Linked DNA regions of Coturnix japonica. The protein of the gene in region 2 purifies or fractionates together with the protein of the main gene of each other region. This does not show direct contact. Links are inferred from orthologs where the notes say so. Each region holds a gene or a part of one and is shown on either strand. Other genes may lie near its edges. The genes, in order: CTBP1, zinc finger E-box-binding homeobox 1 and SIRT1.

Region 1 (12,036 bases), on a different chromosome or scaffold from region 2:
TCTCACACTGCGCTTCCCTAAGGATGGGAACTGCCTCTGTGAGAGCTGAACACGTCTGCTTTAATTAGATGACTATTTAAATTTTTCAACATGTTTACCAGACATTTAATCTTTGCGCAGCTCTCTCTCATTCAGTTTTCCAAAGCAGGGTGTAAAGCTGTGTATAAACCTAAGGCTTTTAAAGCATCTTCCCTGACCCCGGGCTGCAGTAAGTACATATTACCATCAAGTACTTTGATTTCTAAAGCTTTGGAAAGTTCTACCAGGCACTCATGTGCACTGCATACAAGCTAAATATCTAGTCCTAAAGGTCTTTTTTAATTCTCTGAGGAGTATTTAGGTTTAGACAACTAGGTGTGGCTAAACAGTAGGTTCTAATTCAAACACATATGATATTAAAAATATAACAATTACAACCCTGTAAGCCCAGCTGTGAGTTTCAAGCTGAGTTGTGTTTACCATACTTGAACAGTATCAGTTTTGTTGTTTATGTGTTTAAATATACTTAAATGTTTAAGTAATGCTATTTTGACAGAAGGGGGCCTAAAGGAAAGCTGGGGAGAGACTTTTTATAAGGGCAGGAAGCAACAGGACAAGGGGAGATGGTTTTAAATTGGAAGAGGGTAGGTTTAGACTCGATATTAGGAAGAAATGCTTTACTGTGAAGGTGGTGAGACACTGGAACAGGTTGCACAGAGGCTTTGGATGCCCTCTCCATGGAGGCACTCAAGGCCAGGCTGGATGAGGCTGTGAGCAACCAAGTCTAGTGGAAGGTGTCCCTTCCTATAGCAGGGGGTTGGCATTAGATGGTCTTAAAGGTCCCTTCCAACCCAAACCATTTGGTGATTCTATGACTTGATCACAACTGTTAAGAAGTGCTCTGTTTGCATCATAACTGTACTTTGCCATAACAAGTAGTACTTTTTTTTCAATACACCAATGAAAATATAACTCTACAGGTGAAATATGTAATGCTGGGCACAGCAAAAACACGGCTTTTCTTTAAAAAGCATCAAAATTTAAGATCAGTGACATTATTGTTTCAGTAAAATTAAAAAGCTTCCTCTAAAATTCCCCTCTCTCCCTCCCCTCCACCCGAATTTTCTTGTTAAGATAATGCTTTTCATTAGCAGCTACTGTTCAGCATCATTTAGGGCAGAATGGGCTTTTAAGCTAATTTCTTTCCATACAATTTGCACTGTTACCAGTAACACCTCTGTAGTATTGCAAAAGCTTAAGTGCATGCAAATTCAAAAACTGTTTTGGTAGCACATAATGAAGACTGAATTTCAAAGACAAGTTGCAGCAGCAATCCAAAAGAACTCCAACACCTTCCCAAGGAGATATTGAGGATTAAGAATAAAGTATAAAAGGGAAAGTGAACTTGCCCATAAGCAGTTCAACTCTAGTTGTCCCAACAGAAAGGATGGGTTTGCATTGGGGTGAACAAACCCCAAATACACAGATATACAAACAGTCACAGACAAGCTTCTTATATGGCTTATATGACTATTCATGATAGCAACTTTTTCAGTTCATTGATTTCTCTTAGTCCATAGAACTCCATGCTGCTCCTTGAAGACAACGCTCATGTAACAGGTTAAACACTTTACCTCTCTATTTCAAGCTCACAGAAGTATTCTCAAAGTTCTTGCACGCAGAACACATGAAAACAGATGAATTGCTATGAAGACCCTTTAGTGAAGAACAAGAACAAATACATTTTTACTTCAAGACACTGAAATCTGAAAGTAATGGGTTATTCACGGAATATTCTGCTTGTGTTATTCATAGACAACTCTGCTCGCTTACACACCTTCATCAGTTACAGCTGAGAGATTTCATGGCTGGTCCCACAGAGAGGTTTTGCTGGCTGATACTACCTGATTCCTCATTTAATTTCTACCGGATTGCTTAGGAAATAGGGAATTCTCTCCAGTTCAGAGTCCTTATTTATTTGCTAAAGGCACTTTGGGCTTGAAAAACACATTTTTGGTGAAGGTTAATTGGTACTTCGTGACAGAGCAGCTTTCACTGAGGAAACAACAAACAATAAAATATTAGGAATCTTTTAGCTCCCTCTGCTGCCCTAATCCTTCAGTGAGCTTTCTTCTCAAGTCTGTGAAAAAAGACAAGCAGCAAAGCAGCCCATCGTTGTTCTTTCAAGCAACACACGGGATGTTCAGCATGCCCAGCACTATGAACACAATGCCTAAAGAAAAGCATATAAAGTGCTGTGTGACATACGATTGTCCGCAGTTGTATGATGTCCCTTTGTTCTCTAATACCTGCAGGAAGTCAGCTACGAACATCTTCAAATCTAAACACCAGTTAAGATTTATAGCTAGTTTTCCAAAGAAAATAACACCTGCAATATCCACTTACATAAGGAAGTGCTGAAGAGTACTCAACACCTGAGAACATTTATTCCACTTCTCTTTGCAGATTAAGATATGCAGTACAAACCATCTTCAGCAAAATTCCTTTCCCTAACAGGAGAAGCCAAGCAATGGCCAGGCAGGCTGCTGCTCTCATTAATACCCTGAAAACTGCCCAGTTTCACAGCTGCAATGAGCAAAGTCACAGCTCAGGTACACCAGATGGGCTCCAGCAGTGGTCATGGAGTACAGTCATTATATTATGGAGTACATACATTGTCAACCTGCTGCTTTCACGTGGTAAGAAGTTGGGCTCTCTGCTACAAGCACAAGAAAGACCTGGATCCAGAATGCAGCTTTCAAACTTTTGGCCACTCTGTATTTCAAGACCTGCTCATAAATGTAGAACGAAAACCTGGTTCTGCTCACACCTGGAGTCACCAACACACCACATCAACTATGAAGATGCATCCTATTAGATCTCATATTATACAGCACCACAAACAGGAAGAGGAGCTTTAAGAACACCTGTTTTCTGATGGAAACAGAAAACCTTGTCTGTATCCTTGAAAAGAAACTACTCCTTTATCATGTACATTTCTGTCCTTTAAAGAGCACAATGTTCAGTTACTCACCAGTAATCAGACTTCCCTGAATAAAGGCTGTCCTTCGTAAAAGCAAAAGATGAGAGATTTTATCTGAACTTTCTGAAACACGTGCCATTAATATGCATTTTCTTTTTCAATTCAGGAACCCCGTTCAACTCTTCCTCTTTCCTTAAGTAATAAAGCCACGCTGTTAAAACCACTATAACACATTCCAAGCTTTATTCTGGGCACTTAAAGGAAGAGGCAACCTGTGCAGAAAGAATGACATTAAGCTGTATACCAATGCTTCAGAAAGAGGAAAAGGGATTGTAAGGATTGCTGAGAAGCTTTGGGTGTGCAAGGATGTCTTTTTTACTTCCAAAAGCTGAACTAGAAAACCACGTCACGTCTGTCAGGGGTGATGCAGGGTCTTCACTGACCTGTTGGACATGCACCGTTGGTATTTTCTCTGTGTACCAGGTGCCTGCAAATCATTTTTTCTTTGTTTCAAGCTATCAAACCAGAAAAATCAATCTCACAATTTGTTCACAGAGAATCCAGATGTAGCAGAACTGTCCTCATGCTGTAGCCGCCTTCCATTGCCTTCCTACCTCATCTGTTAGCTCCTAGCAAACCACCAGGTCACACATCCCCAAGGTAACTTCCAAGCAATGGTCAGTAAAACATGCACACACTTAATTAAAGATTTCTAGAATATAAGCAAACATGCAGCACTGTTTACAGATCTGTTACAATGTGAAGTGCAATGATACCTTAATTAGAGATAACAACATTTCCAAATGCCAAAAACATTTAGATTTTTTCAGATTACTCAGAAAATGAACACATTTTATTTTTGCACTGTGACACTTCCAACTGTTCTGCCAAATGTATACTGCTATAATTATGCTTTGCAATCATCAGCTTCACTGGAGAGGGGGACAAAGAACAATATAATCAGTAACTAATAACTATATATAATCAGTAACTAATAACTAACATCTTTCACGTGCCTCGTTACTATTTTTCTACAAGAGAAGAAGCCTAAAAGCTACTTTATCGACTGTGAACAAGTCTAACATTAGCATCTCAGTCTGCCCAGGACCATGCTGTTATGCCAAGGCAGACTTCATGGCTACCAGTGGAAGCTGAAAACCACAGTTTCATATCTGGCTTCTTCAAGGGACAGTCCAGCTGCCTTTACTTAAGTCAAAGCTGGTTTATAGAACTGTGTAAAGGAGACAACACATGCAAGAACATGGCACACCATTCGAATAAGCAGGGGAAAAAAAAATAACCCTGAAAATAGCTTCAGGATGAAAGGCAAATATTCAATTTCATATTTAAGAAACCACTGAAGGGAATCATAGGTACCTCAGAGACAAAAATTACTTACACAACTACATTAAAAGAGAACTAATTGCTCCCCAAGTAATAGAGTCAGATTTTTTCTCCGCTGAGTATTAAGTGAAATTTAGTAGTAGCGCTCCCATGCCGTCATTAACTTGGGAGAACAGTAAATCCGATGCTGCCTGTTCAATTGGTTGCTTAATTTGCATGATTCGTTACTGTAAGCGAGTGTGCAAATTGCTAAAAGCCATTGGAAAACAGTTCAACTCACAGAGCACTTAAAGTGCACAGCCCTGTAACTTCCAGGAGCGCTTGTGGCGATCCATTAACTGCACAGAACAAGCTGTGTGCAGCCCTGTGCACATGTTCACTGCACCAACATCTCATTTGGGGAATCAGTCCCACACCATTCAATTTTTAGCAACTGAATTTCAACTCGCTATCACCTCCTTTGAGCAGTGAGACAAACAGTAATGAAATGTGGTGCGTCACAAAACCGCTGGCATCTCTTTATAGATGCAATAACGCACAAACGCCTGCTCATCACAAGTTTTTATGTTAAACAATTTAAAAATATACATATAAACAGCAGCAGTAATTAGCAAACCACCGCTACCTGCTTTTAGTGAGCTTGCAATAAAATCCATCTTAAAAATAATTCTTTTTTTCTGAGCCAAAAGGTTGAGAGAAAAGAAAGCTTTACGGGGACTGTTGAACAAAAAAAAAGCTGACAGAGAAGATAAGCCACCTTTAATAGCTGTACAGCTCATTAAGTTTCCTGAGCTTTAAAAGAAACATTATGCATCCTCCTAAAATATAAAATACTTAGGCTGTGTTATGGGAAATACGTGCCGAGAACTCCTTGATTCTTAAACCTGAACAGGACCACATAGAGAGAACAGCTTTTCTAAAAACAAACCTGCCCCCTCATTTTTATCCTACATTACACACTGGCACGGATCTAACAACATCAGCCAGAGATGTTTACAAACCTCTAAGAACATCAGGAGCAGAATATAGATCTGACGTTTTACACAGTCAAACTGAATTCCTGTACCCAGAAAACCTTAAGCATTTTTCCATATCCATTTTTTCTTCCCCTCTTCTCTTGTTTACCCTCTTCCTCATCTTCCCACTCCCACAACACAGCATTTATCCAGCATATGGTAAAGGGGATTAGGAAGTCAAAGTGGCTAAAAAACTTCATTCCTGCTGTATTTTTCAACTGCATCAATTCCCAGCAGCGCATGGCCACACAGATAGATTTTAGGATGCAGTGAATTGTGTAAGGCTGGGAAAACAAGCCACACAAATGGCTGTGATTAAACAGTGTCACAACATGTGAACACACAGCCTGAGGGAAGCCGCTGCTGTTTTATACAGTCACAGAACCTAACGGTCTGCCACCTCCACCCCGACTGCATTCTTTGCCACATCATCACAACTAATTTCTCTTACGTCATCCAACTGACAAATATAGTGACCCTAAGAGAATGGTGGAGTTCAGTTCAGCTGTGGGTGCCCTCAGAAGGGACAGGTTTCTCTGTCCTCTCTCATTTCCGTCTCCTCATGCTTTGCTAATTCAGCTCACACTAAAATAGGCAAAAATAAAATAAATATATACCTTTAAGTTTTCTGGTAAGGTCAGACACAGAGACTCTAGAATGAGGACCTAGGACCAAAGGATGAACAGCACAAAGCACTGTGGCATCTCACCCATAGGTCACTTCCATCTGATCCTACAACAGAGTTGTCCAGAGGAAGGGACATCCTTCCCAATTTCCCACCCTCAACAGCCAGCTCCCCAGTTCTTGGTGAGCAGATAAAGCTGACACCTTGGCCAATCAGTCAACTAGTGACATGAGACCAATTTGGATCAAGTATTCAGGGTGAACTAAGCTACTTTTTGTTGAGATTACATCACTTACGAAATTGTACCCTCTGGTACTCTGATGAAATGCCTTTCTCTGGCTTTGTCATAAGGAACTGTCCATGTGCCCCTCATTCCTCCTTTCCAACTGCTATTTCAATGCAACTCGTGAGTCAGCTGTGACCTAGACTGAGGAATTCACCTACATAAAAAAATTCTCAAACAAAATATTGTATTTTTAGTATTGGTCCTCTTCCACTTTGGTTCATTATATGGGTACACTCATATTGTAACAAAGAAAGGGGAAAAGAGGAGGATACAACAAAGCTACCAGTGACTGCTGACGACCAACACAGCTGCTTCAAATGCAGTTTACTGCTTCAGTATTAGGCATGATGCAAAAACTACTCATCCAACAGTCTGTACACTTACTCCAGTCATACCAGAACGGGTTTGGTAAAGAAGTTAACAGATCCCTTCTAAGAAGAAACAAGCATCTAGTATTAAAAAAACATCATTAAGCCTCAACCACTTGTGCATTCATCAAAATACAACTTATCCCTCAGCCTGTTTTCACATCAAATCTGAAAGAAAACAAAGAACACCAGGAACATACAATTCACACAACTGTGATTCAAGATTAATTGACTGATGCAAGTGATTCCACTCCTTTCACAAGATCTTGGTATTTTTATTAACGTTCATTAAGTTTGGGGGTCTTCTGGGATTTTTTTCTTTAACTTCTTTCCCATTTCCTCACTAAGACCAGATATGGGCTCTTAAATCAATCTATATGAAGCATATCTGTAGAGAAAGACCCTGGAGAGGATTATGTGGTCTCCTTATCCTTTTGTGGTTGTTATTTTATACAAACCCACAAGCTTTCACAACATCTTGGCAGAACGTTTTAAAATGCTGAGCTGGAAGGAAACGGAACTGGACAACAGTACAGAGTTCCCACACTCTTTGCTTTTATTCATCAAAACCCAACACCTCTGCACAGTTAACAGGATTTCAACAGGAAACACATCTCAATTAAAAAAATACACTGAATGACCAAACGAGCAGAGTTCTGACCTTCAGAAATATTTATAATCCACTAAATGAATGCAACCTTAGAAATTGAAATATCCAACCTTCAAATATGCGATCCAGCCGTTGCCGCTTCACTTTGTGTTTGTCCATTAGAGACATAAGAGGGGAAGCTCAGAGAACGTCTCCGCACAGTTTGATGATGGACTTCAAGTCAGCCACAACTCAGAAACGTTTTCTGCCTTTTATAAACTTGTTTGTTTTTTAAACCTGTGAATAGAAAGACAGATTTCTTAAATATAGTGGGTTTTTTTCCCACCCCTTTCCAGAAGAGTGACCTATGTATACTTAAAAGAATAAGAAAACATTCACAGTTCCTAAATATACTTGGTATCCTGGGATTTCACAATAAGCTTCCCCATAGGAAGGCATCATAACAAAGCAATCAAGGAAATGCTCCTCTCATCCTTAACTCCATGATATTAGAATAAATTAGAGTTTGATACTGGGAAGTTTAGGGTCACGATTCAAGAAACATATAACTGAAGATGTGCATCCCAGTGAGAGCACAGACTGCCAACATCTATATCAAGCAAATGGCATTTAAAACAGCTTCATGCATGACTAGGCAAGCTCTTTGGCAGCACACACAACTAAGCACTTTTCAGATCCTGCGTAGCTGGGCAAGACAGCAGAAGGGTAACACAACACGAAGCCTGCAGGAAGGGGGTGGGGAGAGGAGAAACATCCCGCATCAAAATTCTCACCAAAATGTACACTGTAAATAAAACACACAGGAGCAAGTGAATGGGTAAAGCTATAGAGATCCTTGGAAAAGCATAATAAGAGCAGTGCATTTGTCCCCTGTAAGAACTTAATAGGCTCTGAGAACCAAACACGTATTACAAGCATGGTGCATACAAACACAGGCCAAATAATTCATTTCCCTGTTTCCTTTTATTCCTTCCCAGGAGCTTTCAACATCAGTGGTGAACATTACATGGCTTTGCAAGTGACCAAACCTAGAAATCTGCTTGTTTCTTCCTTGATTTCTTCCTTTTTTTTTTTTTTAATCAAATCAAACAAGTGCACATTTAGTCAACACCTCACAAAGACTCTTGAGGTGAAGTGACAAAAATATTTTGAATATGAAGCACTGCACATTTGCATTAAAACAGCTATCTTCTTCCAGCCGTACTCTGCTTGCTGCTTTTGGATTTTTAAAACAAAGCTCCTCTCCGTGTTTATTTTCACTTGAAGATGAAGGCAATGTGCAATATTCATCATGCTTTTATCGCTTTATTCAACCTCATCCTCCCACCCACTCTCCCTCCACCTTTTCCTTTATCCTCAGATTCAAGAGTTCTAATGTTCTGCACAATGTCTGACTACAGCTGAACATAATCATCGTGACAGCAGAAATTGATGAAGAATGCTGAAGCCAAATTTCTCTTTAAAAATAAAACAAAACACTGCTGTATAGTAAATTTCCTGTTATAGTGCCTCACATTGATTATTCCTGCAAAATACAACATCCTTCAATATTGAACATGGCTTCAAGATTACATGAGCATTACACCAAATCTAACATGCGGTTAAATGCTTTTTAAAATTAGCCATAGCTACCTGCCTTTCCTTCAGTCAATGTGCCAAACTCGTGTCAACCCCAAACTAGCATTTCTTTGCCTGTTACCTTTGTTTTACAACCTACCACCTCCAATAGACACAGAAGAAGGAAAATAAAAGAGGACAAGAAACAAAAACCAGAATACACTGAATGTTTCCAATGCTAATCTAGGTTTAAATTTTTATAGCTAATTTAATTTCCTGTCTTGTAGAAACATATATGCCTTCTGTCCTCCTTGCGCTCAGTTTTGTTTATTCATTCAGCCCAAGATTTTTCCACTGTAGTCATTCTATGTACGAAGTTGGCTGACAGCTGTAAAAAAGCAGCCCATCTGTAACTACTGCCCTACCGCTGGAAGTGTCACCAGCTGCTTTCTATCCATCTACAGTAGCTTCAAAGCGTACCGCATAAATCAAGTAGCTTTGTTTAAAGCCCTGTTTGTTTGGTTTTTATCCACGGCAAGATGTTGTAAGTTTTAAAAAATACGTTTGAGCAAAAATTAAATTAACATATTAACACAGTGTTAAATGTAACCCTCACACAATTTTATTATATTTCGTGTTCTAATCCAAAGAGAAGATGATATGGGAAACATTCCCCAGCAAAACAAAAACATTCTAATTATGGAGCGTTTGTTAACTGCAATTACTAAACCACAACATGAATAACTGTATTTGAAAAATTCACTAAAAATAAAAGCCCATTGCCCAGGGAATTAGAACAAGAAGTATTTAAGAGCACACTTCAATATTTTAACTCAATGAGAATCCAAATGAACTCGGAATATATATTGATATGTACTGCCTAACTGCACGATGAGTAGTGGCTACAAAGCCATCTGAAATATCAGCATACAGAACCTGTTTGTGCAGCACAATTTTAAGATTAAATATATATCATTGAAAAGAATATTATAGCTTTTCTTTCAATTAAACAGATGATCCTAGTCTTTGAAGATATTTTTTAAGAGAAGATGCCTCTGGCAATTATAGCCTGGAGCATTTAGCTCTATCTCAAGAATGGATGAGCTTTACTCTTTGAGATACCACAATAAAAGAGAATCTCCAACATTTTTATAGCAGTGTGAGCAAATCCTACAAGCTGAAATGGGAATGTCAAGTAAGTAAAGCAACGTTGACTTAAGGCAACATTGGTAATGAAGTAAAGGACAAACATAAAGCTGTGAGTAAAAAGATCTGAAAACAAGCCATTCAAGGAGGTCTCTGAAGAAAGATGATGAGAAGCAAGAAAACTACGAAATGTATTTTTAAAGCTAGCCAGTAGGCTACTTACATGCACACTGGTAGGCTGAGATCACAGAATATCCTGAGCTGGTAGACACCTGTAAGGACTATCAAGTCCCACTCTTGGGAAGAGATGGGTTCCAAATTCCTAAGGAACTCTCTCTCATCAAACATCAGAGGTTGCAATGTAGGATAGTTTCCTTGGCTTCACTTTCATGGGAGACTTTTAGGTGAAACAGATAGCCTTTGTACTTAATTAATCTAGGTGGTGGAAGCCTACTAAAAAAAGTGACCTGCATCACACATAATCTGTAAGGAGCCCACCTACAAAAAGACTGTGTATAAGCTATTCTGAGCATGGACTTTGACCCATACAGGTAGGCAAGGCAAAAGACTGACCTGTACCTTTGCCTTACTATCAGCTTCCTTCACACAAAAAGATTTGTAGACTAAACCAAATATGGTGATAAAGTGTAAGAAATCCAAAACAGAAACAAAACTCACAGAACAGACTGATAGATCACTAACACAGTGAGAACAAAGCCATGAAGTTCTATGTTACCCCTGGGAATCTTTATCTTCATTTAATTTAGCCGTTCTAACATACGTTCTTTGGTCTGAAACTACATTAAGTTACTGAATTATTTTCCCTTTCTACTATCAACTTTCAAATGTATAAAAACCTACTGCAAGAAAAGCGGGAAGTTTATTTTCAACATTCCACTGCCATCGGTTTCTTATGACTTCATAAATTAAATAAGTTTCCAAGACAACCCAAGCAGACTAATGCTTTGCTTCTCTTTCTCTCTCATCCAAATCAATAAGAGCTCTATTTTCCATGACACCTAAAAGCCTTCAAATAGCCATTCCGTACAGCCTGGAACTAAGAAGTAAATAATGAAAGTGTTCCTCGCGCTATAAATATTTAGATCATCCCAAATAACTACACATTTTGTAGCAACTGTTTGTTTTGGAGAATAAACAGGTTCCCAAGATAATAAAGACCCATCATAGCTAAGACTTTGTGGCAGAACAGGCAGCTCACAGCACCTTAGGCTGCTCACCATGAAGAAAAACACCTTAGCAGAATGCCAATTTGACAATAGTTTTCTGTTGTTTTCTTTGGTTGCTATTTTTCTTTTTTAAATGATTATTTTATTTATTTGATTTTTTTAGGCGACATCTCGGTCTCACTGAAGGTCCATGGAGTATTTACACCTACGCATGGAACTGAACTTTGAGATTAATACTGAACTCACTTTTTCTTTCCAAAGCTCAGAAGTATTATTCAGCAATACCTACCACTACTAGGTATTATAAATACCAAATTCAAAACCAAGAAAAAAAAGCCCAGAGAAACCTCAAATAGAAAGAAAAAGAAAGAAAAAGAGGTCACGCACATTTCTTCCAAATGTGGCAATTCTAAGACTGCTGCATCATCACTGGATATCCTGTCCAGAATGCTGTGGGACAGCGGGCCCTGCTGCTGTACCGCTATGGAGATGCCATGAATTCCACTGAGCACTACTGCAGTATCAAACCATCACAGCATTTACACTGTCCTGAAAACTACTCTTACAAAGGTCTAAGCTACGTTTAAAAAATAAGCATGGCCCAATGAACGCAACAAGAAGATTCACTGCCAGAAGAGAAAGCATTAAATCAGACTTCCTGTGCAAAAATGGAAGCTATTCCATCTAGTCACACAAAATTGAGTATTTTTTGACTGTCAGACAATTTATCTTGCCGCTAAGTGTGGCAAAGGCACTTTGCCTTACCATTAGATGTCAGTACAATCTAAGAGAAACCATACAGAGTGCTTCAAGATCAATGAAATTGTCACATGAGGGAGGAGGTCACTGAAGGAGATGCCAAGAAATGTTGGACACTACTCAGAAATAGCTGATAATCTCAAACATTATTATGCTGCTGCCTAAATCTCAGATAC
Region 2 (9,497 bases):
AGTCAAGCATTTGCAAAAAGTTGGAAAATGTCAGAATGGAGATTGTTCAAAGGGTTTTAATTTGTCCCTAGTATGTATGCATAATGATAAGATCTTTAATTATGCGATCACATAAATTTTTCACAAGAGGAATGGTGCCCGGAGAATGAATCGGGGATGTTTATTAAAGGAAGCCCTTGTCTCCAGAGCCCTTGCCTTAATTGCTGCAAAGCACGGTAATTGAAGTAGAGGGCTGCAGCAGTCAGAAGCAGGCTCTCTGAGGCTCTGAAGGCACCACTGGGAAGCTGGGTTTCATTCTCTCTCTTTCATGGAGCAGTTCAGTGGTTTGGGAATGTCCCGTATTCTGGAGGTGATTTGTTCCCAGGTGCCACCCCAGCTACCTGGGCTCTGAGCACACTGCATCTGGGCTGAGCACCTCTGTGCTTTGGACAATGAATCGCTATAGGAACGTGAAACCTTCTGCTAAGTGAGACCCCAAAGGGCTTAGACTGACATGTTAACGCCAAAATTGCTGACAGAATCCTCTCAGTTTTAAGTAGTCAGTTTCCTGTCTGTAAAACGGAAACACCATCACCCAGCTACGGCAAAATTAATTAAAGGCTTTAAAGCATTTATGCTGAATGCCTCGGAGGAAAGCACCAAGTGTATAATGAGGACTCTAATTCTGGCATGCTTCCTGTAAAGGAGGCCTTGGGAACACCACTGGCTGGCGGGACTAAAAAGAACATGTAGGGTTGTTGCGATTTGAGACGAGGAGTCCGGATCCTACCAGTGCTGGGCTGCAGAGTCACAGTGTGCCCTCAGTGTGATTAGTGTTTCATCTTCCCTGCAAAGCACTTTAAACCTGATATAAGGAGTTCTACTTCATTTCCCAAACCAAACAGGGAAATCTAAAAATAATAATTCAAGAATTAGTTATCTGCGTAACTGAAATACCGTGTGTGTGAATTTTGATCTCAACTGTTATTTATCTTCTTGGCCTGTGGCAAAAGTCTGTATGTCAGGGTTTTATATGCACAGTCCTCTACGTGTGTCACTGCCAATAGGGCAAAAAGATTTTCCTGTGTCCTCCTTGTGTTTTTGGTCTGTTCTTGACCTTTTTAAAACTTACATTTAACAATTTTCAGGCAGAGAAATTCATAAATCTCTTCTGCTGCGGTGAGGTTATCTATGCATGTCTTACCTTTCACACTGTGTTACCTCAGCACCTATTTTACTTTGCAGAATCTGATGCAGAATATTAAGTGAGAATCAATTTATTGATAGAAATGGGTCAAATACTAGTATTTAGGCAATTTTATCTGCATTTGTTGCTTTAGAATAGCTTGGTACCATGAATTACGGCACATACAACATTTTTCAAATAACGCTACATGTATAAAATATGGAAACATGATTATTTTAGATTCAAAAGGCTCTTTAGTCATGCTTATGCATATTTGAGATGGGACATTTTTCTCCCAAATGAGAAGGAAATGAGATAGCAGCTTTCCCATTCATAATGTTACTCACTTTCCCTGCTTAAATGCATTTTTAAATGACTAGAGTATCTATGAAAGAAGAAAAAAAGAAAGAAGAATAACTTCAGAAGAGCTGGAGTTGAGTCTCCTATTTATCTACATTGATGAACTGGGTTCACATCAGACACTGAGTCTGTATGGTGTGCTGACAGTGCCTGTAGGCAGGGGTTGCAGAGTCCTATTCCCTTTTTATGGCAAAGAGATGGAAATGTTTCCTAAGTCACCACAGAGATTTTCACGTTCATGTCTGTACTGCTGAGCCTCCAGTGTGCTCTGGGTGTATCTGCAAGAGCACTTTAGCAGGAGCACTTTAGCACTTCTGAGTGCTGCCTCCTTGTTGTACCCATTTAGTGCTCCTACCAAGTATTTCATAGTGTGGACTATAATGTTCTTAAAGGAAATGTACAGCACTTCTGTCATCCAAATTGGAACGACATGGTGCAACCTCATGCTGGGCCATGTGTGCAGTGGTCTCCTGGTTCTGGGCCGCCTGCAGGTGCCTTCTTATGTGCCGCCATTGTGTCCAGGTTGCTCTCAAGATGCTGCCGTCCACAGAAGGAAAAAAGAATTAATGATATGACTCCATAGAGATGCCCTAAACATAGCATCTGGCTACAGTACCGAAAGCTTTGGAGTTTTCTGCAGAAAATTAAGAGTATATTGATCAGTGTTTGCTTTTTGTCTGCCCACAGTCACCAATTACAATAACGTGATAGAAGCAAACTCAGATTCAGATGACGAAGATAAATTGCATATCGTAGAAGAAGAAAGTATAACTGATGCAGCAGACTGTGATGCAAGTGTGCCAGAAGATGACCTGCCAACAGACCACACAGTGTTACCAGAAAACAGTGAAAGGGAAGGGAGCACAAACAGCTGCTGGGAAGATGAAGGTATGTTCATTTTCAGTATGATTCTCTGTAATGTTTCTAAGAAGACTTTAGATAGAGGTTTTTGGTTACTTTGTTACTGGAATTATTAAAAGCAATAACATGTAGATATTGTGTTACACTTTATTTTCTTAGTTAAGTATTTGAGGTACAGCCCTGTGTGTACCTCAATTCCAGCCACCATTCTTTAGCATCCACTTTGCTGAAACCTGTGACTTAATAATTGTGTGACCTCACATCTAAATGAACTGAAGCACTCATATGGCCACTAAATGTGGTCCAGCTTTTATGTAGCTGCCCATGCCAAGGTGTGCTCTGAAATGTGGAACTCAAAGTTAAACTATTAGGTAGATAATTTTCTTAGTTCAGCAAAATCTTTGTTCTCCTCCAGTGTTTTATACACCGTGAGTTGCAGTTACATAAAAATGGGCTGCATGGAGACTATTTCTTGACCCAGCCAAACACAGGTGTAGGAAGCCTGGGTGTGGATTGAGACTGGGCTCAGATATGGACTGAACATTTCTTGGGGCTGCAGCTGCAGGTAGTTACACCCAATATGTTACCTAAGGTTGCCTCTGGGGAGTCTCATATATCTAGATATGTAATTGTATCTTTTTGGACTTCCTATTTCAAATGTGCCATTTTAATTAAGAATTGTTGACTCAAATGAAGCATTTGAACCAAACTATTGTAATTGTGTATGGTATTCTCTGCCTTGGTCATTGGTTACTCAGCCAGGCAGATTGTCTTACAGGCTTACTAAAATTACTGTAAATTTCTTATGTAAAAATTACAAATTCTGAAGCCTCTTTTGTAGCAGCCAGGAGGATTTTTTTATCTGATAGTAAGGTTTTTTAAAATAGATTGTTTGAACTTTTGTTAAAGGCTGTGTGAGAAAAAATGAAGGCTAAATTATGTTTCATGGAGCTTTGATTTGCCATGGTAAAACTCTATTTACTTTTTTATGGCTTTCATAGAAAGAAAGGTGCAAGCTGAAAATCACATCATCAGTCTCGGTTGTACATTAGAAATCCTAAGAGCAGGGTATTGAATACGTGATCTTCATCTCAAAGGGAGCAGTGCTGGAGTAGTCTGTGCAGAGCTGACACTGTCACTGAGAGTGGCAGTTGTCTTTAGAAAACACCATGGCAGTTTTAGTAAGTGGATTTTCATTGCTGGATTAGTGCTGAAGGTTCCTACTTGTAGTTGGACTTGACAGAATGGGTATTTTACACATTTATTCAGTTTGCAAACACAAGAATAGGAACACACGTAACATCTCTTTATCAGATTAGTTTCCTTCCGTTTCCAGTCATTCTAACCGAACTTCTACAAGACCTTCAGAACAGGTGTTTTAAATATAAGGTGTGTATCTCCAGAGGTTTAACTGAAGCAGTCACACCGGTTTGAACAGATGAACCACGTGTATCCGGCACCGCTCGCTGGCGGGGCGCCAGCATTCATGTGTGCACTGATCCTATGATGTCAGCTCTTTTTGCTTCAGGTTAAACTAAAGCCTGTGCTACGAATAAGAAAGGAAATGTCAACCCCTATTGACTTGTTATGTTAATAAACGTTTGAGGGGAGGTTAAATGTTCACAGCATCAGCTTGATCAAGTTTTCTGCTTACAACCAAATTTTCTGTTTTTCTAGTGAGTTATCTTATCCATCTCTGGATCTTTGCATTGACATTGTGGTAGTGTCATGTGTGGTGCCTGTGACCTGGAAATGAGCAGCATTTAGCTCTGCAAGTCCCATGTATCTCTGAGCAGCAGTTCATGAGAAATGGTCAGATGCTGCACAGAGCAGAGCCAAGTAGTGCTGCCATGCTGAGGTGGCTGTGGCAGGGTCAGGCAATTCTCAGTGGCCTTAAAGAAGCCATTTTTTACCTGGTTGTGGTTTCTTAGTGGCTGATGAGATCTAATTTGATGGCTCTACCAGATGCTGTAGAGATGCATAATATGAGTATGGCTGAGTGTCCGTATTCCCACCCAGTGCAAGGAGCTTGCTCAGCCCCTCTGCTGCTTGCCAAGCAGTAGAATGGAACTTGCTGGAGACACTCTAATTTAAGCCGTATGGGTAATAATTTACAGATAGTAGCTCTGTTCCTCATAGCCTATTTCATAATGGGGAAAAATCACAAACCTTTTTAGGAAGAAAAATAGTGTAGTTGGTATCATAAATATTTTTAAGAAATGAAATTTTAGATTTGAATTTTCATTGCCTGCCATTGACTGCCATACATATTCTGAACAAAGCCTCTGGTATCAGGAGCCAAAAATACAATTACTTCACAGTTGGATATTGACTAATATTTTATGTATTGTAGTGAGGTTTTTTTCAGATGCTAATTCAAATCAATGAAAGATTTATGCCTTACAGTTTCCTTTTTTACCTTTTTTTTTGTGACTATCTGCAGATAGAGATTCCCCGCCTCTTCCCTTTTACGTCTGGTGGGTTTTGTCAAGGTAGACCCAACTAAGAGTCTTTTCCTTTAAGGAAGCCATTTGTATCTCAGAAATCAAATTTGCCCTAGGATTTCTCATCTCACACATAAAGGAGAAATTCACTTCTTCTGTATTTAAATGTGGCTCGTTCCGCAGTTGTGACTAGACATGCCCAAAATTTTCCCTGCACTGAATTAGAGTGAAGCAATGTAAACAAAATTACAACAGCTGGCATTTTGGATCCTGCCCGTCATATATTTTGGCATCTTAAGTCACCTTTGCATGTCTTTCTTTGCACTATAGCTCTGAAGCAAGTACCATCTCCAAAATAAAGCAATGACTGTTGACTGCTATGGCATTTCCATACAGTAACATAGTATAGTAGTGAATAATGGAGTGATAAAAATGGTTCTGTTTCACTATACACTCCAATGCCATTCTGTGTTTCTCTGAAGAAAGGGAGAGCAGTGTGCAGCTGTGCAGACAGGACCTGCAGATCATCAGCTGTTTCCAAATACTGCTAAATGAAAGAAACAGAGTAAATTTAATATTTCTATGATACTCTGTTTTCGGGAAATGATGTTCTAGTGTATCAGTTAGCTGCATTTAAATAGCTCATTCTGTGATTGCTGGAGAAACACACTGTCCTGCTCCTTACCTGTCTTTACCTGTCTTCAAATAATGCTTTAATGGCTAACATGTAGTATGGCTTCCTTTGCAAATTTAATTTCTTTCACTGTAAAATATCTCTGTGGTTCCACCAATTACGCTGGAGTAACGTGGAATCCATATTTTTGAAAGTATGTTGTCTTTTAATGCAATTAGAGAAGTGGACAAAAATGCTGTAGAAGTAGCTCCTCAAATACACGACGCTGCTGTGTGTATGCGGTTTTGTTGTGTTTTGTTGTTGTTTGAGGGTGTTGATTTGGGGCTTTTTTCTTATTTTTGGAGTATTTGTTGTTCCTTTTCTGAAATGTAATATTTCTGCAGGAAAAGAAAGAAAGGAAATCCTGGGGCCTGAAGCTCAGTCAGATGAAGTTGGATGTACAGGTATTTGTTTGTCTTGTTTATCTCTGTCTATTCTTATAGCTTGTCTGCCAAAGCTTCAGCAGTGAGAACAAAAGGGGTGTAACACTGATCTTGTTGGCAGAATACAACTACAGGCCAGCAGGTAGTGTTTTAAACTAACAAGGAATACACCAAGGTAAATGCAAGCTGCTACTTACCTCCTTTTCCACTCCTCTGCTTGTACTGATTATACAGAAAACGAAATGAAATGTGGATCTTTGGTATCAGAATCAAACAAGGACAGACTTTTACAAATGCAGGAAGCAAGAGGTTAAGCATCTCTCAAACTAAAAGGCCTAAATTGTGATACGTGCCGCACTGAAGAATTTTAGGGGAAGAAAACATAAGGTGCAAAAATGCATTGAGTTAAAGAGTGCATTTTTACAGAGTTTGTAAAGAATACTTTGTAAAGTGTGCTCTTAGTCTTTTTTTTTTTAATTGTCATTATGCCTGTTTCTGTATTAAAACGTTCCTATACCTTAAAGAGCTTAACCTATGCTAGTATTTGTAAGGAGCTGTGAAATCCTTGGACAGAGGTTGATTTGGAGATGAGAGTTACTGATCCCTTTTCCAATTTTTTTTTTTAAAGTTTTCATTTGACATCTTATATGGTGGTTTTTTGCTCTTAGTAAAAGAAGATGAATGTGATTCCGATGCAGAAAATGAACAGAACCATGACCCTAATGTTGAAGAGTTCCTTCAACAAGAAGATACAGCTGTTATTTACCCTGAAGCACCTGAGGAGGACCAGAGACAAGGCACACCAGAAGCTAGTGGTCAGGATGAGAATGGTAAATATGCCACCAGTTCAGTTCATACAAAATAAATTATGTTATGCACTTGACCCCAAAGCTCTGTTGTGCTTTGAAAGACAACAACACATGATACTTGATTTTGTGATGCAAGGCACACACTATGAGTCAGTTATATGGGTGCCTAAATGGTAGTTGGAAGTAAAATCAAGCTCTCGTAAATCCATTGGGTTATTATCCCAAAAAGACAAGGACAGAGAAAATTGAAACATTACTTATATAATAATATTCATGTTATTTGTGATGGAAGCCCATTGAGAAATACTGCCTTTCCAGTAGACTTCAAAAATGTTGTTTTATATTGGAATAAGAACATTTTTATTTTATTATGAGCTGTTTGTATTCTTAGTGAATTCTTCATGTAACATTTAATTGAAAACAACACCCTATATAAATGGTTTGGAGATGTTCTGATCCAGTTGTTTATTAAAAATGAACGTATTTGAACAAAAACTGTTATTGTGGCTGCATTAGTTCACTGGAGTCTAAGGGAGAGCAGTGAAAGGGTTGTGCTGACAAATTTGTCTCGCTCTCTCAGAATTCTTACATTATTAAATATTTTAGTAATAAAAAAGAAGATATTTAAGAAATAAACACATATAGAAGAATATAGGAATATATTTAAGAAGTAAACCGAGTACCTGCCTATATATTACATAAGTAGGACATGAATTTCCAATATTTTGTGATTTCCTTCACGTGTTTTGTAAATTTCAATTAAGTTATATTCTTAACAGTAGCATTTTAAAGTTTTTTACATTTGAATCTGTAGTTGCAGTGGCACAGCTTGTCAGGTTAGCTTTACAGACTTGCAGTGATTTCCATGTAATCATTAAAAATAAACTTCAGCCTTAATAATTGAAATTGTACCTAACCATGTAGGTTCAGATGGAAGTGCTCTGAAAGTCACAGTGCTGGACAGTGATGCTCAGTGCTTTAATAATTTGGAAGAGAAAATGCCAGAAAAGTGGTGATTTTTGGTAAAGGTAGATTCCTCCAAAGCTGAGGAGGGGCAAGTGAGGTGACAGAGCATCAGAGTATTTAGTACTGGGATCGTGAAACCTGCCATTTCGGCATTTCCTTCAATGGAAACAGAATCTAAGTTATGCTTGTGACATTTCCACTGACTTGTATTTGTGCTGAAATGCAGTATTCCTTATGGCATGTGAATTGAATTGTAGATGTAAAAAATGAACAGAAGGGAAGCATGGAAGCATGCTGTATCCACACACAAGCATGTGTTCATTTTAGTCTTGGAGAGACAGAGACTGAACTGGTTAGAACAGCACAAAAAACAGTGAAGTATGAGTGTTACCAGCTTGCTTCCATAAGGAGGGAAAAAGAAAAGTTGTTATTTTCACATAATAAAGCAAACTGGTCTGACTCTCCACTGTTGTGAAGGCAATAGCATGTTCAATGAAAATGGCAAGAAATTCACACAAATAGGGATTGCTACTGTATAGCGCATATATGCAATCTATGGCAGTAACTGCTGGCAGATGTCATGAAGATAGATAATTCAGAAGTACTTCAGAAACTAACGGTTAATTTCATCAGTGTTAATAATTGCTTATAGTTCAGCAACTTCAAATGACCATCTGTACCCCAGTTTGCACCTCATGATTCAGATCATAAACTAGATATCTGTGCAGATGTTCCACTTTCCTCTCTTGCTGTCATTCAGCACAGTGAATAGATGCTTTGTTGCAAAATTTGCTTCCCATTTCCCTTGAAGCTTGGTCACTGGACCTTACCAGACCTCATAAACAGATAATTTGATCCAATACTGTGAACCTTGCACTTCTATAAGCACTTTTTCCATTAATCTGTAAAGTAAGATGTTTTCTAAATCTCAGAAACAAATCTTTTCTAGCATAGAATAAGTTACTATATATGGGGGAGAACTAAATGCTGATAAGAAAAAATAGAGTTAAAGCTTCATAAATGATGACTTCTCAGGAATATTCCTGTCAAATTAATATTCAGCTTCAATCTGATTTCATTTTTTGCTGGTACAGGAGTAACTTCATAGAAGCCAATAGAATAAATCCCATAGGTTGTATTAGAATCACATTTATGGCATCACATCTGATATCTCTTCTTTCTGTCACTCATCTGCTTCTCCTGCATATAGTATGTCCCACATAGCTGTGCATAACTACGAAGAATATCAGCTGTGTTTCTGTTCTCCTTTCTCTTACAATTCTATGTTAAGAAACAAGAAGATCATTCTCTGCAGCCTAAAAATGTTGCTCATTCCTCATGATCTGGAAATAGGGTGACCATTAAGTGCTGCAGTACTAGATTTATTTTGTGAGCATGATTTTGGGGTTGCCAGTGGTACGGTTAACCAGGACTACAGAGCTTGCTGGGTCTAAAACTACATATTACAGTGGTCAGAGTACTTTCTCATCAGAGACATGTGCAGAGGCTCTGGTGCTGTGTGGGGACAGAGGTGTGGTTCTGGGGAGTGTCTGTGTGCTGACATCCTCCAGCACACGCTGGGACAGCTGCACCCTACCGCAGTCAGTAACATAATACCTAAAGAAAAAATACGAACAGTAATCGTTCCTTTTCTAAACCAGACGGAGCTTCCCAGCAGCTGCACGTTTTCTTACAGTCGTATGTATGAATGTAAACTGTGTCTGTCGATGTTGGTTGAGTTCAGAGTTTACATCTTATTTAAATACACCATATTCTCTCTCCTGCGCAGGAACACCCGATGCGTTTTCCCAGCTGCTTACCTGCCCATACTGCGAT
Region 3 (11,355 bases), on a different chromosome or scaffold from region 2:
GCTGCGCGGCGCTGGGCGAGTGAAGGAACCGAGGGTGCGTTGTCACAGAGCGCTGCTCTGTGTCTGCTGAGAAACTGAGTCGTTGAAAGCTGTGTGGTGGTGTGGAGCCGAGAGAGCCGTGCTCAGGGTGTGCCCTGCGGAGCTGGCTGTCAGCACTCGGTTCTGTGCAGCGCTGGGAGCTGCTGCTGGGTTCCCCTGGTGTGAAAGCTGTCTCCATGTGTAGTGGTCCGGGTGCTTCGGGGAGAGCATCAAGGAACATGAGCTCTGTCTGGGAACCCCCCCATCCCATCAACCTGCATTGCTCCCTTTCCTCTTTCAGGGCACTTATAGCTCCTACAGTGTCCTGTGGCAGTAAGTTGCACAGTTTCAGTGTGTGCAGTGGTTTGCTTTATTTTATCTGCTTTCCCGTGTGTTCCCTCACTGCTCCTTGGGCCTTGAGTCTCAACAGTGAACATTGTGTATGCTGTTATACATCACTTTTCCTGGGAAGTCCTAGCAGCTCAAGTGTCACCTTAAAAACACTAACTAGAGAGTGACTGTTTTAAGGGTACTGTTCTGACTCTGATGTTACTGTAGCTAATTCAGAACCCCTTGCTATGTAGGAGCAAGCAGGACTGCTCAGTGAATACATCTAAATGCAGCACAGGGCTTGGAAGAAGATAAGTAGTTTTCTGAAGGACAAACTGCGTTGTGGTTCCAGATGTTGCTGTACCAGTGCAGCTTTACTGGGGCTTTGCTCCCACAGGGGGCAGGCATAAAAGGCAATTTACTGTAGAGTACCCAGGACCTCACTTAAAGCTTTGTAGGGCATCTTTAGTTAAGTTCTTAGGAGCTAACTAGAAATTAACGGAAACCAAAAATCAAATGATGATTTTAATAGACTTTAGAACAGAGTGTACGAGTATAAAACACTGGTTTTGTATTTCAAAAGTTGCAGGAAGATAGCCGGTCATTTTAAACAGTCTTCTACAAAACATATGCCAGTAGATTACATAAAAGACACTATATACAATATAAAAGAGCAGAAAACAATCCTCACTGTAAAAATAATTTAAAACAAAGTATTTCAATTTAAAATATCTCCTATAGCACAAACTAATACATTGTAACATGCAAGTGAAAACTAAACATATTGCATTCTTTAGTGTAGCCAAATAAGAGCTGTATTAAATTTGGACAATGAGACAACATGCCAACATTTTTAGATGAATACAGAAAGCTGTTCTTAAATATTTCTTAAGTGATGTATCTTATGTTCAAAGAACAGCTACTATACATCTCCAAAATGTAATAAATATTAAAGCAAAGTATATGAATAATCTACATCGTAGAGTTCATTCGGGCCAATGTTGAAAAAGTGGTTTATATAAAAAATGCTGATTCACTTACTACTGCACTGTGCAATTGTACAAAATAATTCTAAAGGCTTGGAAACAATCCGCACTTGAAAATTTGCAACATCCAGTTGTAAGGCAGCTTAGCACTTTAATACGCAATGTGGTAATTGGAGTAGCTGCTTTGATTCTAAGATGCACGTTGGAGCTAACAGGCGGAAAGTCGCGTTCCCCATCTGGGACATCACTGGAAGCAGCACGTCTCCAGGTGAGGCGATTAATCTGTATTTCACTCACACAGCAGTAGCAGCAGAGCCTGTTGCTCTCCGAGCAAGTTTCTTCCAATTCTGTTACTTCTGTAGGTATTACAGGAAGAGATTTGGTTTCCACGCCTTCCCACATGCTGGTAGGAACATTATTGTTTACTCAGCCAAGCCTCCACGTTACAGCCTTGGCAATTATCAAATACTATTGTTAATGCAAGCTGCGCTATATTTGAATTTTGTATACAACATGAGAAACTTCTACCATTGGGAATCCATTTTGTTTAAAATACTGGTGTTCCAGTATTATAATTGCTAAGGAGCCAATGTCAACACTGCTTCATGTCCACAGGAAGTGTTAAGCTCAGTAACTGAAGCATTTTCACAGCACTTCTTATCAGTCTAACGAAGATCAGGAGTTTTCAAGTGCTTACTGTCTTGTTTCCATTTTTAACTATCTACTCACATTTAAGTATGTCTCAAACATACAAACTAACTGTTAAAGCAAAAAAATTAGCTGCCACAGTAGGTCTTAGAAAATGCCAGTGTTTAATGATAGGCTATGCGAGAACGAAAGGTTTAGCAGAAGCGTCAGAAGTTTTAAATAAACCAAACTGTTACAAAGCAAGAATTGTGATAATACCATTCTTTGGTCTAAATTAGCTGTTCCCTTTATATTAGTTTAACATTCCAATGGCTTTTTCAAAACTGTTTAAAAATAATATAAGCTGAAATTTATTATGCAAAATAGGTATTATATACATGGATGCCTGATCGGACAGATGACTTAAAAGTGAACATAGTAATAATTGCTTAGATATTCCTAGTACCTTAAAAAAAAAAGTTAGTGTTGAGTGTGCAGTAAGAGAATTTTATTGAAAAAGGTAAAAAACTAAGCATGAAAATCTGTTTCAGTTGTTTATAAACACCACATCCTTATGGTTTCCTTGCTCTAAATCCAGACGTAAACATTCATCCTGACATGCCAAAGCTCCTAATGCTGGTGGAAAATTCCTGTAACCAGTGATCGCACTTTACAACTTGGTGCTTGTTGGATGATCGTTCCCTGCAGCTTCATTTGTGTAAGCTGATTCATCAGCTGCATCTTGCTCAACTCCATCTTCCCCAAATGCAGCATCCTCTTCCCTTTCTGGAGCATCCTCATCCTCTATGCCATTGTAAAACTCTTCGATCTCGCTCTCATCCTCCACATCTAAGCTCTGACTGCGACACGAGCCGCTTTCGCTACTGCTCCCACAGGAGCTGGAAGATATCATATCATCTTCAGAATCTGAGTATACCTCAGCTCCGTGGAAAATATAGCGATTGGGTGGTAAAAATAGATACTGAGTACCTGAAACAGAATTTAACAAGTCAGTATCACAGAACGGTTGAGATAGGAAGGGAGCTCTGGAGATCATCTGATCCAATGGCCCTACTCAAGCAGGGGCAACTAGAGTGGGCTGCCCAGCAGAAACAAAAAGCTGAAATTATTCAGACAAGATCTTGCAGACTTCTGCTTAAAAAATACCTGTGTAGGTGTATTTTCAAAAGTTAAGCTAATATGACAAATAAGATTACATTAGAAATTTGTACTTCAGTGTTAGAAACAGCATTTAATGCGTGCTTTTCTGAGAAGCTGTTTCCTCTCCTCCCTCCCTTTGATGTAAAAGCGGTGTTTAAACTAATGTTTGAGAGCTTTTTATTGGTACTTGTATTCACAGCTAGAATGCAACTGGTTGTACCATAGAATTGGTACCCAGCACACAGAGTGCTTGACAAAATTCAGACAGACTTTGCTTTAGGAAAACTGCAACTTAATCCTTGGTTCTCCATCCTCACTGACTTTGTAGCTCAATTACTTGTTACATCAGTTAACAGACTGCACAACGGAGGGCTTCTTTGGAAAGGCTGATGTTTCCTTTGGAATGTGCCTGGCTCCAGCTGTGTGATTTGCTTTTTGAATCTTGTGGTGACTTTGGTCCCTCACTGCTACAGAACAGAGTTGGGACATAGTGTTTAAAATGCCAAGATTGATACGGTTTTTCTGGAAACGCATTAGAAAATGTAAGACAGGTGTGTTTATTTTTGATACTTAGCTTCTGCCTCTTGGACTCTGATCTTTCTAGGGAGTTTGTAGTCACAGAATCACAGAATGGCCTGGGTTGAAAAGGACCACAAAGATCATCCAGTTCCAACTCCCTGCTGTGTGCAGGGTCTCCAGCCACCAGACCAGGCTGCCCAGAGCCACATCCAGCCTGGCCTTGAATGCCTCCAGGGATGGGGCATCCACAACCTCCTTGGGCAACCTGTTCCAGTGCACCACCACCCTCTGGGTGAAAAACATCCTCCCCTGTCTCAGTTTAAAACCATTCAGTAATCACTGATTATAAAATCAATTCTCAATTAGAGTTTTCCTGTTAGCTCCTCTGAAAGAAATAAACTCTGCATTGACAATAAAAAAAGTAGATACTTTTCTGAGCAGAAATAACCACAAAAAAAACCCACTGATTCCCTCAAGGGCAACTTATTTATTGCTTTAAAGGAAGTCTAGAATAAACACGTAAGTCAAAATCTGCAAGAGAATGAAGTAAGTTAACACTTACCATCCAGCCTTTTGCTAATCTGTTCTTTTGCAGCTCTGTTTGCCCAGCACTTCTTCACTATTTCATTTTTGTCTTTGCTTTCTCCATTGTTGGTTCCATTTTCCTTCATTGTTTCAGAGTTCATTAATTCACTAGAAGTATTTTCAGGGTTTTCAGAGGATGCCTGTGTGTCTTGAAGCTTTTCCTCCGTGCAGATCCCTTTAGTTTCAGAGGCAGGATCACAGTTTTCTACCTTACATTCAGCTGCGTGTTCTGAGGGTGCCACCGAAGTATCCGGTGGAGTCATTTGTTCTGGTGATCCAGAGTCTTCTGAAATGTTTAAGGGTGTAGGCGGCAGCTCAGCTGAGTGCATTTCCAGCTCTCTGTGCATTCGTGGAGGCTTTTCTGTTATTTCTGAAAGTTTTACTGAGTTGTAGCAAAGTTTTGTATATTCACTACCTAACCTTTGACATAATTCATTAATAATAACATCACAGTCTCCAAGAAGCTCCACGTCAAAGTGTAGATGAGGCAGAGGTTCCCTATTAATTAAGATCTGAGGCACTTCATGAGGGATGGAACCTAAAACACAGAGAAGACAGTTTGAGGACAGGCATTTTGGTTTTACTTTCTACCAAAGGTCTTCCAAAAAGACTTCATTTCTCAGAGATGTCTTCGAGGTCTGTCCGAAGACAAGCAAATCTTGAATGTAACAAAGCTGAGCGGCAGTGTGAGGTGCTGTGCCTGTGTAGTCTATCTAGATTTCCCCGTTTCTTGCAGTATAAGGTGTTCTTCTATTTCACCACTAAGAAACCCGTGCGCAAAAATGTTGACTACGGCAATGTTTGGTCACGTGTTATTACAAGATTATTACAGTACTGTAATTTCTTTGAAGGACTGCAGTGATCTTGTACATTCATTTGATGCACTTCAGTGCGCACAAAGAAGGTACTGTTGTTAACTGACTTTCTCTTAATTAGGTCAGAATATCTGCAGGTACAGTCTGTGATGTAAGGGTTTGCTTAACACATCTGGGGCTCCAAAACCCCACAATCTGATAGCCTGGTATTGACTGGTTCTTCAGATAACCAACTAATGAAATTCAGTTTGTGGATGGAGCAGTGATTTGTGGATCCTAACTTTCCCATCAGCCTGAACACAAGGCTCTACCTCTTGTATAAAGAAAAGAGGGTGTTACTACAGAAGTGCTGGATGTGGCTCTGTCCCCACTGAGCAGCAGATGGTTGGTGCAGGCCCTTCTCAGGCTTGAGTGTTAAAAGTGCAAGTTAAGTTGTGTGTTTAATAGGCAAATAATTAACCTGCAATCATATTTTCTCAGACCTCCTGAAGGACTTATTTTGTAGTAGCACGGATAGTTTTCCTTATCACCTTTAAGAAGTAAGGACCCAAGTGGCTGTACACTATGTACTGCCTACTATGTATTGTTTAGCACATTGACTTTAATTACTGCTTAAACACCTGATGTACCTGTTCCATTTTCTTTTTTCTTTTCTTTTTTTTTTTTTTTGACACTACATTTATCTTTTAAAAGACAATTACTCTCTAAATCTCACAATTCCAGAAGCATATTATGAACAGGGAGAGAAATACATTCGTCTCAGAACAAAGACATTTAACTTTTAGCGCAGTGGTTCTCTGGCTTATAGATTTATTACTTTGAGATCTCTCCTCTGGCTTAAGTGTAGAAAAAACACTCAGAACTGGAACTCTTAACTGAGAATTTTAATTTCATCCCATTTTTTGAAAGAAGAAATTTCCAATGTGAGTCACTTACTTGGAATCAATGCTACTGGTCTTACTTTCAGTGAAGACCCAATGACAATAAGGAGATCGACTTCATTTTTGTCGTACTTCATGGCACGATGGAACTGCTCAGGTAAATTCTCTCCGAAGAACACTATGTCAGGCTTCATGATAGCAAGTGGCTCATCAGGCGGACAGCGAGGACATCTAGGAACAACCTGCAATAGAGCAGCTTGTATCACTATTGAGGCTTTTAAGGTGCCACAGATTTTAGCAATGCACAGTGACTTATTCTGGTGTAAGACAGAAGCTTCAGTGATATTTCCTCATTTATTTTTTTCCTGTGAATGAATGCATTTCTTACTCTACTCTGCACACAGAACTACATTGGGAATGAAGGAGTCTTTTTATGTCAAAATGGAGAAACAAAGAAAGTCTACACCTCTGTTCTTAGCAAACAACTAAGCCAAAATCTACGTGTCATACTCAGCACTAATGTGTAATCACCTCCTAGTGGAAAGGAAGATAATTAATTGGTTTAATCAGAACAAAAGCTTTACTTTCACTATCAGTTTCCATTATACAATCTGTTATGCACCCCTTCCTAATCAAACAGCATGTTATAGAGCATTACCTCTCTGCTTTCTCTTCTCCAAAGAGAGAGGTTGCATGAAGTAATGTGGCGCTGTAGCAAGTGGCTAGCAAAAGCACACAGAACAAGAACAGGGGAGGAGCTTTTGTGTGGTCTCCCTTTTAAAATTTCCCAATTCTTCTAAGAGCAGAGCGATAGTAGATGCTGGTTATGCTCATGGAGAAGCAGAGTCCTTTTTCTCTTGAAACCACAGGGTTTTCTGACCTTTTTGACCTCTTTCAACTTAATACTTTTTCAAGGAGAAGAAAAGCAAACAGGTGAGCGATGCAAATATAGACAGACAGGGCTTTACTACTGAGCAAATTATTTTCTCAGCTGTAGTCTCTAAAGTAAAATACCCCAGAATAGACCTAAAGAGTTAAATACAGCTACAGTCCTACAAGCAAACTAGTGCTTTATAAAGACATAAAGAGATGGATGAAACCTGTTATCATAGGAAAATATTTTTTAAAAAAAGAAAAAAACAAACACACAACTGCTGGTTTTTTATGACTTTTGTGGGACCAAAGACAATGCTTTCCATCTGAGAAAGCATCACAAGTAAAAAGCTGCTTCTGTGGTGTGAAAGAACCTTTTCCAGAATTCAAGTCTTTGAATAATCTAATCTTTCTTTGAAGAAATCTCCCTAGTAGCAATGTGTAAGAAGCAATATAGCACAAGAACTAGAAAGTGGTACAGAGAAAATCTTCATCGTGTTACCCAAGGTAAGGACTAACAGCTCAACCATCTTAAATAATCCCCCAAAACAGAGTAGGGAAGAAAAAAAAACCCTTGACTTTTTTTCTTTGGATCTTTACATATTAGAAAGAAAGCAACAACACACCAACATCCGGAACTTCTCTGATGCTTTTTACCCTGCGACTTCTGCTGGAGGAAGCAATGTGTTTGCATTTTAAATCAGATTTGGAAAGTAAAATTGTTTGCTCTGTATTAGGAAGAAAAAAAGAGATCTCTAACTTCTGATTTAGTTTAAAAAGATGCTGATAGTAGTTGTTTCCATCATCTCCCACAGGAAGTCCGATAATGTTATTTATTGGATCTGTGAACAGCAACTGCTGTCCCTGCCCAAATCATGAGTTAATGTAAAGGGGCCCATAAATAGGTTTCAGCACTACTCTACTCACCAGCTCCTCCGCTAATCCTCAGAAAGGTCATCAGTAAGGGGGAGATCTATTCCAAGAGCTGAAATTGATACCGAGAAGTTAAGGCTCAATAGCTGGCCGCTCAGCTGCCTAGGATCCTCCCTCCCTCCAGGGGCAGCACAGCCCACAACCACACCACCTCTGCTGCTGAATTTGTCTAATGAAGGAAAAGTGGAATTCCTCATCAGCTGTGGATGCACCAAAAACAAAATCAGTAAAGATTGTGTTGGTTTGAGAACATCCACAAACAGGTGCATGTTTCTGTGGGCCTTTACATCCTAAATCTGAGATGCCTTTGCTGTTTCTTGAAACTGCTTGAAGTAGTCAAAGGCACAATTAGGCGTTTTTGAAAGTAATCTAAAACAGTTCAACTTAGGTGCGTTTTCTTCCTCTGGGATTTATAGATGCTGCCACATCTTGTGTAGCAGGATGGCTGTGTACAGCAACCTAGAAATGGAATTGTGCTGCAGGGACCAGTGTGCTACCTTGGGACTGGCAAAAAGAATAAAAAGCAGCGGTGAGGAACTGGTGGGTTTTTTTAAGTATCAATATCCAGTATGTTGAAAGGAAATCCTGCCAGGAAGATGCTAAATTGACTTATTTTGTTGTGAAGCACTTAAAACTGTCAAAGGAAGGACCAGAGCAAAGGAAAGCTAATCTTTCTTTTATGGAAAACAGGACCTGGGCTCACATATAACTGAACTTCTAAGCAGTGGAGGACAGCAGAGAATACAAACAGCGTCCTGTTGGGACTAACTCACCAAACTATTTCTAGAGAAAAGAGCTGTTGGAATTGGCAGTGCTTTGTTTCACAAGTACAAAACCAGTTCCTTTTGATAACTAAGGAATTAATTCATTCGAGAGAAGCAACAGAAAAACCAACTGCGTAGCACTGATTTGGGAAGCAGAGATAGTGATGGTAAATTGAACTATTTTTTTTTTTTTAAGGATACTCTTTTTCCGATGGTGCTATTTCTCATTATATACATTAAGATACACACACAACAATAACTGTGTTCAATTTCTGGAGTAACAGTAACTCAGTATAACAACTACAGTCTGTTCTGGAAAAATATACCTGTTTAACATATTGAAACTGTTGAGTCATGGCCTGAACCACTTGAGCATCTGGGGAAAGGACCCGGTCAGCCCCAGGAGCACAGGTGAAGGCAATTCAGCTGTGTGACTAGAATGGGTAGAGCCTGGCTGCACCTCTCTTACACCTCATTTAAGGGCTGACTGCCACTGAGGAAGATTTTCGTGGAGATCACTCCTTTGTGGAGTCTTCCTGTGAGCCTGGATCTTTAGATACAGGTGAGCATCCTTTTCTAACACCTTCTCATTATGTTTATCTAGGACTGCTGCTGCTGCCTTTACAGTACTGTAAGATTAGGACTGATGCATTGAATGTTTCTTCCTTGAGGAAAAAACCTCCTTGTTCAGAAGTACTGTTGTACAAGCTTCTCTTCCCATCTTTATTTTCCCACTACTGGCCATGAGCCGTTAGGGCACGAGTTCAGTTCAACGTATGAAAGTGCATTGATTGAAGTGTTGTTAGAAGGAATGCTTAAACTAACAATCAAAACAGAAAACTACACACCATACTTAGGAGCACTTGTTCAGAAGGGAAAGAAAAACAAAGCCCAAATCCCAACCAACTGGCTTTGAGATAAAGAAGCTGCAGACATCTCTAAGGTAAAATTCTCAAGAACAACATTAGTAGAGTAAAACGGACCTCACAGGTGTTCAGCATTACAAAGCCACAAAGCATCAGTCTTCTGATATTGACACTTCATAAAACTTGAAGTCAAACAGAATCCAGAGACAGCCTTTCATAAGACAGTTCAGACAGAATGCTTAAAATATGTTTTCTCATTTAAAACTGCAACTGTGGACTCGTATTTATTGAAAAACATGCAAATACCGAAGAAAAGTGCCTTTCCATTTATATAGACAATCTTTTTATCAGAGAACTGTCTCTGTCGAAAGACAGAGAAGAAAAGCAAAGAGGGTCTGACCAAGGCAAAGCTTATTCTACTCTGCTGGAGCAGAACTAACTCTGGGCTTGATCATGAAGTACTTTGCACCCAGATGTGAGGCATTCAGAACATAAAATAGTTTGGCAGTTCTTAAAAGTGCCAGTCAGACATCTTGCTTTGTCCTTGCTCAGACGCTGCTTTATGTTAGCATTTTCTCCATGCATCATCTACAATTTCAACATGTTGAATGCAGGTAAATGCTTTAAGAGCGACTGACGTTATAAATAGCTAGAAATGCATTCTCAGTGTGCCTGAGAGCTCAGATTACCCTAAGGCAGGTATAAATCCAACTTTCTACTTACCGCATTAACTTCTGCTCTTCTCAGAACTGCCTTTAGAAATAACCTATAACAGTTTTGGTTCTACTTCTTCCCCATTACCTAATTGCTACAGTGTAATAACTGAGTATATTTTTTAAATACAAGAGCAAATGCTAAAATATAGATAGGTACATAGGAAACAAGGAAAGCTCTTTTTTTTTTTCTTTTTTCCCTCTTATACGTTTTAAAAGTGCAGATCTTTTAAGCAATGCTTCACTTTGTTTTCAAGCTGATTATCAGAGAGCTGCAGTGATTTAAAGTGAGTTTTTACCTGATTGAAAATATCTCCTCGAACAACTTCACAATCAACTTTGTATTTACAGATCAGGCAGGAAGCTGTTGCAAATGAACCTTGGGGGAAAAAATATGGTAGAAGTGAGGACTTTCAGATTTGGTCTTTTTGCCAAAGATGTTACGACACAAAGGCTGTTAAATTGCAGTGCTAACAAGAAACAGTTAAAGTCCTTAAAAACTATTTTTAAATGAAGAGGAGATGCCTGTAGTACTAAAGGTAGTTGTAGATGTTAGCAAGGAGAAAGTGTTTTAGGAGGAGGATTTACTGAATATATGAAAGCACAAAATATGCTGGATGGCTCCCCTACTTTCCCTTTCCATCTTTATACGAGTAATAGAAGTGGTGACAGCCCTGCCTCATCAGAGCAGGACATGAACCCACACCAATCTCAGCTGCCTTTCAAAGAGTAAAGTAACTGTGAAAACGCATTTGCTATGACTTCATTATAAGCAACTAAGTAACAGCACTGTTCCTCTCAGAAACTGTCAACAGTTACAGCTATGTTGTTCCCATTAGAATAGTGCTCCAAACTTAGTATACAGCTTGGCTACCATGTTCACTGTTTGGCAAGGTTGTGTAAATTTGCTCTCTGGTGCTCTTGCAGCCCTGTCTGAAAGCAAACCTCGCCTGCTGGCTAACACATGTTAACAATGGGAAACTGTGGCAAACCAGAGTGGCTTTTTGGTGCATACATTTACCCATCGAGGCCTTGTGCCTGTGCAAGGAGTACTGCTAAAAGTTGACAGGACATTGAAGAATGAAGTGAGGAATTGTCAGATTTGTCTTAACAATGAAACAAGGCTTAAAAAAATAATTTGGGGATGTCTGTGGAACGTGTCAAGCTCTCACAGATAGACAACAGATACTGAAGCACAAACCTTTAAATAACTACCGTCAGTTTCTCTTTAACCACTGCCAGCGTTAAGCAGTGTAACTGCAGTGTGGATAGCGTAATGGGCTC

The links.
Region 1: the proteins of zinc finger E-box-binding homeobox 1 (region 2) and CTBP1 purify together in Homo sapiens (affinity purification with mass spectrometry; 9 studies listed by BioGRID and IntAct, counting the BioPlex papers as one, with this or other methods). This does not show direct contact. The link is inferred for Coturnix japonica from reciprocal best matches to the Homo sapiens genes ZEB1 and CTBP1.
Region 3: the proteins of zinc finger E-box-binding homeobox 1 (region 2) and SIRT1 purify together in Homo sapiens (affinity purification with western blotting; 4 studies listed by BioGRID, with this or other methods). This does not show direct contact. The link is inferred for Coturnix japonica from reciprocal best matches to the Homo sapiens genes ZEB1 and SIRT1.

The regions. Positions count from the first base shown.
Region 1 is NC_029519.1:76,688,215-76,700,250, reverse strand, and holds the start of CTBP1 (C-terminal-binding protein 1), read right to left. Parts: upstream 7,488-12,036; 5' UTR 7,380-7,487; coding exon 7,322-7,379; intron 1-7,321. UniProt on the Homo sapiens protein: Corepressor targeting diverse transcription regulators such as GLIS2 or BCL6. Has dehydrogenase activity. Involved in controlling the equilibrium between tubular and stacked structures in the Golgi complex.
Region 2 is NC_029517.1:13,025,315-13,034,811, reverse strand, and holds part of zinc finger E-box-binding homeobox 1, read left to right. Parts: intron 1-2,212; coding exon 2,213-2,413; intron 2,414-5,847; coding exon 5,848-5,907; intron 5,908-6,554; coding exon 6,555-6,716; intron 6,717-9,450; coding exon 9,451-9,497. UniProt on the Homo sapiens protein: Acts as a transcriptional repressor. Inhibits interleukin-2 (IL-2) gene expression. Enhances or represses the promoter activity of the ATP1A1 gene depending on the quantity of cDNA and on the cell type.
Region 3 is NC_029521.1:8,459,531-8,470,885, reverse strand, and holds the end of SIRT1 (NAD-dependent protein deacetylase sirtuin-1), read right to left. Parts: intron 10,451-11,355; coding exon 10,371-10,450; intron 6,165-10,370; coding exon 5,978-6,164; intron 4,765-5,977; coding exon 4,204-4,764; intron 2,952-4,203; coding exon 2,632-2,951; 3' UTR 861-2,631; downstream 1-860. UniProt on the Homo sapiens protein: NAD-dependent protein deacetylase that links transcriptional regulation directly to intracellular energetics and participates in the coordination of several separated cellular functions such as cell cycle, response to DNA damage, metabolism, apoptosis and autophagy.